Linked DNA regions of Tribolium castaneum. The protein of the gene in region 1 purifies or fractionates together with the protein of each later gene. This does not show direct contact. Links are inferred from orthologs where the notes say so. Each region holds a gene or a part of one and is shown on either strand. Other genes may lie near its edges.

What was found.
Region 2: the proteins of ras-related protein Rab-28-like (region 1) and PrBP purify together in Homo sapiens (affinity purification with mass spectrometry; 3 studies listed by BioGRID and IntAct, with this or other methods). This does not show direct contact. The link is inferred for Tribolium castaneum from reciprocal best matches to the Homo sapiens genes RAB28 and PDE6D.

What each region holds. Positions count from the first base shown.
Region 1 is NC_087399.1:2,692,014-2,696,209, forward strand, and holds the start of ras-related protein Rab-28-like, read right to left. Parts: upstream 2,899-4,196; 5' UTR 2,773-2,898; intron 2,752-2,772; exon of another isoform or gene 2,648-2,751; coding exon of another isoform or gene 2,547-2,647; intron 2,501-2,546; coding exon of another isoform or gene 2,293-2,500; intron 2,248-2,292; coding exon of another isoform or gene 2,116-2,247; exon of another isoform or gene 2,098-2,115; intron 1,958-2,097; 5' UTR 1,920-1,957; coding exon 1,845-1,919; intron 1,797-1,844; coding exon 1,611-1,796; intron 1-1,610. Other genes in the region: Septin4 (septin-2), read right to left, coding at 2,899-3,061, 3,109-3,236, 3,282-3,346, 3,399-3,433; IT (oxytocin/vasopressin-like peptide precursor), read left to right, coding at 2,116-2,247, 2,293-2,500, 2,547-2,647.
Region 2 is NC_087401.1:12,576,944-12,579,734, reverse strand, and holds PrBP (retinal rod rhodopsin-sensitive cGMP 3',5'-cyclic phosphodiesterase subunit delta), read right to left. Parts: upstream 1,406-2,791; 5' UTR 1,294-1,405; coding exon 1,247-1,293; intron 1,202-1,246; coding exon 1,018-1,201; intron 975-1,017; coding exon 838-974; intron 788-837; coding exon 706-787; 3' UTR 606-705; downstream 1-605. UniProt on the Homo sapiens protein: Promotes the release of prenylated target proteins from cellular membranes. Modulates the activity of prenylated or palmitoylated Ras family members by regulating their subcellular location.

The DNA.
Region 1 (4,196 bases):
ACCAAAGACTGGTCAATACTTCGGTCAGTTAATACATTAAATAAAACGTTTATAACAATTTTTTTGTTTTTCATGTAGTCAATAAAAAAAACTAACTCAATGAATGAACAAACGATTGCCTAATACAGGGAGAGTTCGCTAAAATATTTTTATTACATTTCAAGAACTACAATTTTTTGTAAATAAAATTACGTAAATAAAAATATTAATTAAGCAAAATTTTATGATGCTTAAGTAATATTTTCAGCCAAAATAGGGGTTTATTAATTAATTAATTTCAATCATAAGGTATCGTAGGAGAATTCTGGAAAAATTAACATCCATGTAGAGATAAAGTATTTCGTGAAAAACGAGGCACTTTGCACAAATTATTAGATTTTATTTTCAGTTTTTATGAACACAGTATCAGTGGAAATAAATTTTCCTTTAAAAGAACTTAACACCAATCAAACTGTTTGCAACCTACGATTAGAGAAAGTTGAAACATGATCAAGAAAAAAAAAACAAAGTTATTACGGACGGGACATAAAATGACTTCACATTTTACTGTTTAAAAACAGTCTTTATAAAATTCTGACAATTTAAAAGGCATTAATAAAAGGTGGAACTTGTTGAAACTTTTGATTTTATTTTTCGTTTACACATAACGGATGGAACAAAAAAATTTTGTGTGTCAAAATACCTGAAAAATTTATTCAGACCGGTTTAATTATTAAAGACTTCAACAATATCAAAATTAGACAGTAGAAATTAAAATTTCTTGGCCTTGTTTAACGACGTAAGAAATAAGAACAACATACTGTATTTTCACATGGATAACAACCAGCTGTGAAGTTGTTAGGTTGGTACGCCATGCCTAGTTTTTTTAGTATACCGATTGGCAGTACTAATTCATTATTGTCAAAATTTGACACTTGGCACAAGCGCAGAAAGGAAAATTGTAATTTCAAACTGAAATTTTAAAAATAAGCAGCTAAAAGTCTATAAAGAAACGAGCAATACTAAATGTTGATGTAAAACAAGCAATTATAAAATGCCACGCAAAAATCGAGCAACTTTGCCGAGGCGTTTTAAAAAGAACATTGAAGATAACAGTAAAAAATGTTTTCTCGGTAATTTTCCATTTTTCCTTTTTCTACCTACCATACTTGTTCTTTATCTAACTCCTGCTAAACGTTTTTCACCTACCAGTGCTCAAAATTCCAAGTTCGAAAAATTTTAACGCAATACCATGGGAAACTTTTCTCCCTCCACGCGAAATTCAAATTTTTATTAAAACAAATTATTAGTCTTAATACCCTGTTTTTGGACCAGTTTCATAACTTCACAGATTTAATTTAAGTGAATAATTAACAGATTTTAAAAACTTTCGAGTTTCTAACCTATATTTGTCTGTTCTGACAAATTTCTCACTAGAAATTACTAGAAACAATAGCGAACCGGCTTTATATGTTTGCAATAACGGACGGGACAGCAAAAGTTACGAAGATAAAAAATAATATTACTACTCAATTTAACTAAAAAACACTTCAAAAATTATTCAACAGTTGATATACTTTTAGCAAACTCTCCTTTTTATTTACAATTTCGATAGAAAAAATACTACGTACATTTGAATTGAATAGATAATTTCCTAGCATATGTCCTCTAAATTCATTACCACCAACATCAGTGATCCTCACAGTGATTTCCTGACGACCTGGTAGCGAAATTCGCCGAATATAAAAATCCGCACCAACCGTTTGATTATACTGTCTTGTAAAATCATCATAACAGAATCTCCTAATTATGCTTGTCTACAATTAATTCCAAAAAATAAGCTAACTCATAAAAACTGGACAAACCTTTCCAACACTGGGCTCCCCCACAACAACAATTTTCAATTGTCTCCCGACACTTTCCTCCTCCGAATCCGACATACTCGCACCTTATTACCAATGCATTTCACAAAAATCACCTTATAAGAAACGCATATTAGAAGCCACCAATCACCATAACAAAACAAAATCTCTTGAGTGCTTTTTAAAATTCGCAGTGCACACAAAAACACATCCACAAGCACAATATAAAAGCGAAGCCCCAACACAACCAACCACTGCACCACAAACCGCCACAATGTCCACAATCATCACTTCGATCATTTTACTCGTTTTGAGCGAATCTTTAGTTTCAGGATGTCTCATTACCAACTGTCCTCGCGGCGGCAAACGGAGCAAGTTTGCCATAAGTGAAAACGCCGTCAAACCGGTAAGAATTTTTTTTTGGTAAATAAAACAAAAAATAATTTGCCAGTGTGTGAGTTGCGGTCCCGGCCAAAGCGGGCAATGTTTCGGCCCCAGCATTTGCTGCGGACCTTTCGGGTGTCTTGTGGGAACCCCCGAGACGCTGCGTTGCCAACGTGAGGGCTTTTTCCACGAACGCGAGCCCTGCATTGCCGGCAGCGCCCCCTGCAGGAAAAACACAGGGCGGTGCGCTTTCGACGGGATTTGTTGCAGTCAAGGTAATTTTATTAACTTTAATACAAAATAATAGTAATAATATTTCAGACTCTTGCCATGCGGATAAAAGCTGTGCCAGTGACGATAAAAGTCCGATAGATTTGTACACTCTCATTAATTACCAAGCTGAGTTGGCTGGTGATAAATAAAAAAATCAATAATTAAGCTTATTTCGCAAGTCATGACAAATTAATGTCTTGTTATTTAAGTGTGTGAAGAACTTTTGAGCAATTGTCAATAAAGCGGTATCAGTAGTTGAATGTTTTATAATTACCCCTTGTACACATATCACTCATGGATTAGCACCTTGTACTGCACTTTGTAAATGGTAAATGGTAATTAAGTAGTAAGGTGCTATTAGCAACTTCCATACAAACATTAACAACCTAACCCTACTTACTTCTCCTGAGGGCGTTTTGGGCGTCCATGGTCATTGCGTCCGCTTCGTCCAAAATAATCAGCTTGAAGCCTGACTTGAAAATTGTGCGTGTGCTCGCAAACGTGAGAATTTGTCCCCTTACAATACCAATGCCCCGGTCATCAGAGGCATTCAATTCCAAAACCTTTAGAAATTATTTTAAAATCGTTCAATTCTCGTAAATAAATTTACCATTGAGGAAAACTGGGCCGGGGTGTAAAGCTGGCGGGCGCAAGCCAGAATAGTGCTAGTTTTGCCCGTTCCAGGGGGGCCATAGAACAACAAGTGGGGGACCTGGTCCTCCCTAATAAATTTACCGACTGAAAAAAATAATGAACAACGGTTTGGGCACTAGTTGTGCTTACTTGTCTTGATAATATCGTCGTGAGACACCAAGTCGTCCAGACTGCTGGGGCGGTATTTTTCGACCCTTTTGCGTAAAACGAGTTAATTGTGGTTACAATGTAAAGAATTGGGCTTACCAAGGCAAATTGACGCGTGTCTCGCTTTTAACCATCGTATAATTTTGAAAAATGTAAAACACACAGTAACACTTAACCTCGCTTTTTCAAGTTTGGCGAATTGAAAGTTAGGGCAAGTCCAGGCAAATGTGGGTGATAATTTTCGCTTTTTGCTACACCGAGTGTTAATTTTGAAGGTACAGTGCTCACTAACACTCGGAAAACTAACAGGAAAATGAAAAACTATGAAAGCAAAGGCGCCAAAATCTGGCGGAATGTGGCACAGAATTGCCAATCGTCACTCGAATCAAACTCAAACCGGTTTTGAGTTTTTGGTCTTAGTTAAAATTTTGTGGCATGTTTAGGCGTCCTATTTATAGTATGCATGGACCCTAATCAATTTTGCGTTTATGAAACCACTAATAATGATAATAAAGTTGATTTCAAATTGATGGAAATTTTGTTACGTTGGCTAATCTGGGTATGTTTTTAAAAAAATAGCGCCAAGGCCGATGAATGGTTACGACAGGATTAAAAAAAAAAGTCCGTGATAAATAGAAAAAATATATTTTACAATAAAATTTATATACAATGTTAATATGAAAATTAAAAACTTTCAACAAAACTGTAGTGGGCCTTTCGTAGTCGGCACCCCGTTCGATAGATCTAAACATTGTAAAATTGTTCATACATGGAGGTTGTAAACACCAATTTTACACTGGCTAAGAAACTTAAAAAACAATAAATAAAAAGTGAGATAAGGCTTTATCACATTTAATTATGCTATGATTATAGAAGGTACACATTTTAATAAAATAT
Region 2 (2,791 bases), on another chromosome or scaffold:
TAAATTCTTATTCAACTATCACAATGAAAATGCTATCGCAAAAGCTAATAGAGTTCTTGTCTGTATTAAGAAATATGAGAAAGATATTATAGTGTTTTACAAACGTTCTGTAAAAAATGTATTAACTGTTAAATCTTGTAAATATAAATGTTTAGTACCGAAAATAAAATAAATAAAAAACAAAAAGATAAAGCCAATTATCATTAACTGTCAGTATTTTTTTATTTTTATTACTAGATTTATTTTTTTAATTTCTAATTTCATTTTTTTTCTAATTACAAGTAAGATAAGACATTCAACATAAATGTCGGTTATTTAAAAAAATTAAGACTGACAAATGTCAGTATGATTACAAAATGTAGCAATAAAAAACCATTTTTTAATGAGTAATAAATGAATTTTTGTGTCTGTATACGAGCATATTTCATTATTTTTATGTTCGTAACTTGTTAGACGGCTAAAACAGCATACTGAGTGACGTCACGCTTGCAGCGCTCTACATTACCGATACTGTTACCGGACAATCTCCCATTATACAGAGTATATAAAATTATATACTCTGTGTTCCCATTATTGCTGGTGTTAGGGTTTGCGAAATAAAACAATTTTTATTATTGAAAAATTTAATAAAGTAAATGCACACATTGTTATTATCACACACAAAGGTAACAAAACGCAACAGTGGCCCCGTTGGTGTCTTTTGATTCAAACGTAGAATAAACGCACTCTCGATGTGGAAATTAGCAAGTCGTCGTCATAGAATTTCGTTTCAATGACAACATTGCCGCTGGAAATGAAATTATTGATTAAACTCGATTGATTTGCGGCAATTTATACTTGAGGACGGACGCGGGCATCATTTCAGACTCAGGTGCTGCCTCCATGATCGATTGCCATGTATTTGTCGATTCTGGCATAACAAAACCAAATTCGAAGTACCACTCTTCAAGACACCGTCCCTTAAACAATACTTTCTGCACACAAGCCAATAAAACACCGCTATTTTGCACATGTTACCTGCTCCAGACGAAATTTTTCGATTTGTTCTTTGGAACTAAAATTAAACTCTCGAGATACTGCACGACATTTGAGGATGTTTTTAGGTACGTGAGCTTCATGTTCCACGTCCGGAAAGCTCAAGTCCTCGCAACCTTGCCAGAAAACGGTCCCACCGTCGGCGTCACGCAAACAAACCCAATTCCTACGCGATTTTTCAAATTTGCCCCCAAAAAAAAACGATACTCACACTTGAAAACCCTTAAGTATCTCTTCGGCGCGAGTGCTCTCGGACATTCTCCCGAAGAAGGCAAGGGGCGAATTCGTTGTTTGGATGCGATTTTGAGGCAAACATAGAAACTAACCTCAAAAAAGCAAAGTTTTGACAGCTGACAGTGATGACACGATCAGCGCGTCCTCTACTTTTTCGAATTTTTCCGTAACTATTATTAATTCAATTTGAAAAAAGTGCTAAATTAATGATAATAATGTTTTTTTTATTTTACGCATTACTAAAGATTAGAATATGAAACGACATACAAAAAAACTGGGCAATGAATTAAAGAAGAAAAAAAAACACAGTCGAATGCCCTATCGAAGAGCATAATATCCTGCAAAAATAAAAAAAAATGAAGGATATAAAAAGGGTAAAAAAAATAAAGTTTGCAAAATCGGGAAATCTTAAAGAATCTTTAAAAATTCATTAAGGTCCCAATGGGTGTTTGTCCGAACATGATTTTTTCACAGTCAAAGGCCCTATCAAAGGGCTTAATCTCCTGCAAAAATAAAAAAATTGAAGGATATAAAGAGAGTGAAAAAAATAAAGTTTGCGAAATCGGAAAATCTTAAAGAATTTTCAAAAATTCATAAAGGTCCCAAGGAGTATTTGTCCGAACATGATTTTTTCACAGTCGAAGGCTCTATCAAAGGGCTTAATCTCCTGCAAAAATAAAAAATATTGAAGGGTACAAAGGGGGTGAAAAAAAATTAAGTTTGCGAAATCGGGAAATCATAAAAAAAAAATAAAAATTCATTAAAGTCCCAAGGGGTGTTTGTCCGAAAATGATTTGTTTTACAGTCAAAAGCCATATCAAAGGGCTTACTCTCCTGCAAAAATAAGAAAAATTGAAGGATATAAAGAGGGTGAAAAAAATAAAGTTTGAGAAATCGGAAAATCTTAAAGAATCTTTAAAAATTCATTAAAGTCCCAAAGGGTGATTGTCGGAACATGATTTTTTTACAGTCGAAGGCTCTATCAAAGGGCTTAATCTCCTGCAAAAATAAAAAATATTGAAGGGTATAAAGAAAGTGAAAAAAATTAAGTTTGCGAAATCGGGAAATCATAAAAAAATTTAAAAATTCATTAAAGTCCCAAGGGGTGTTTGTCCGAAAATGATTTGTTTTACAGTCGAAAGCCATATCAAAGGGCTTACTCTTCTGCAAAAATAAGAAAAATTTAAGGATATAAAGAGAGTGAAAAAAATAAAGTTTGAGAAATCGGGAAATCTTAAAGAATTTTAAAAAATTCATTAAGGTCCCAAGGGATGTTTGTCGGAAAATGATTTTTTTACAGTCGAAGGCCCTATCAAAGGGCTTAATCTCCTGCACAAATAAAAAAAATTGAAGGATATGTAAAGGATGAAAAAAATAAACTTTGCGAAATCGAGAAATCTTAAAGAATCTTTAAAAATTCATGAAGATCCCAAGGGGTGTTTGCTCAAACATGATTTTTTTACAATGAAAGGCCCTACCAAAGGGCTTAATCTTATGCAAAAATAAAAAAAATTGAGGGATA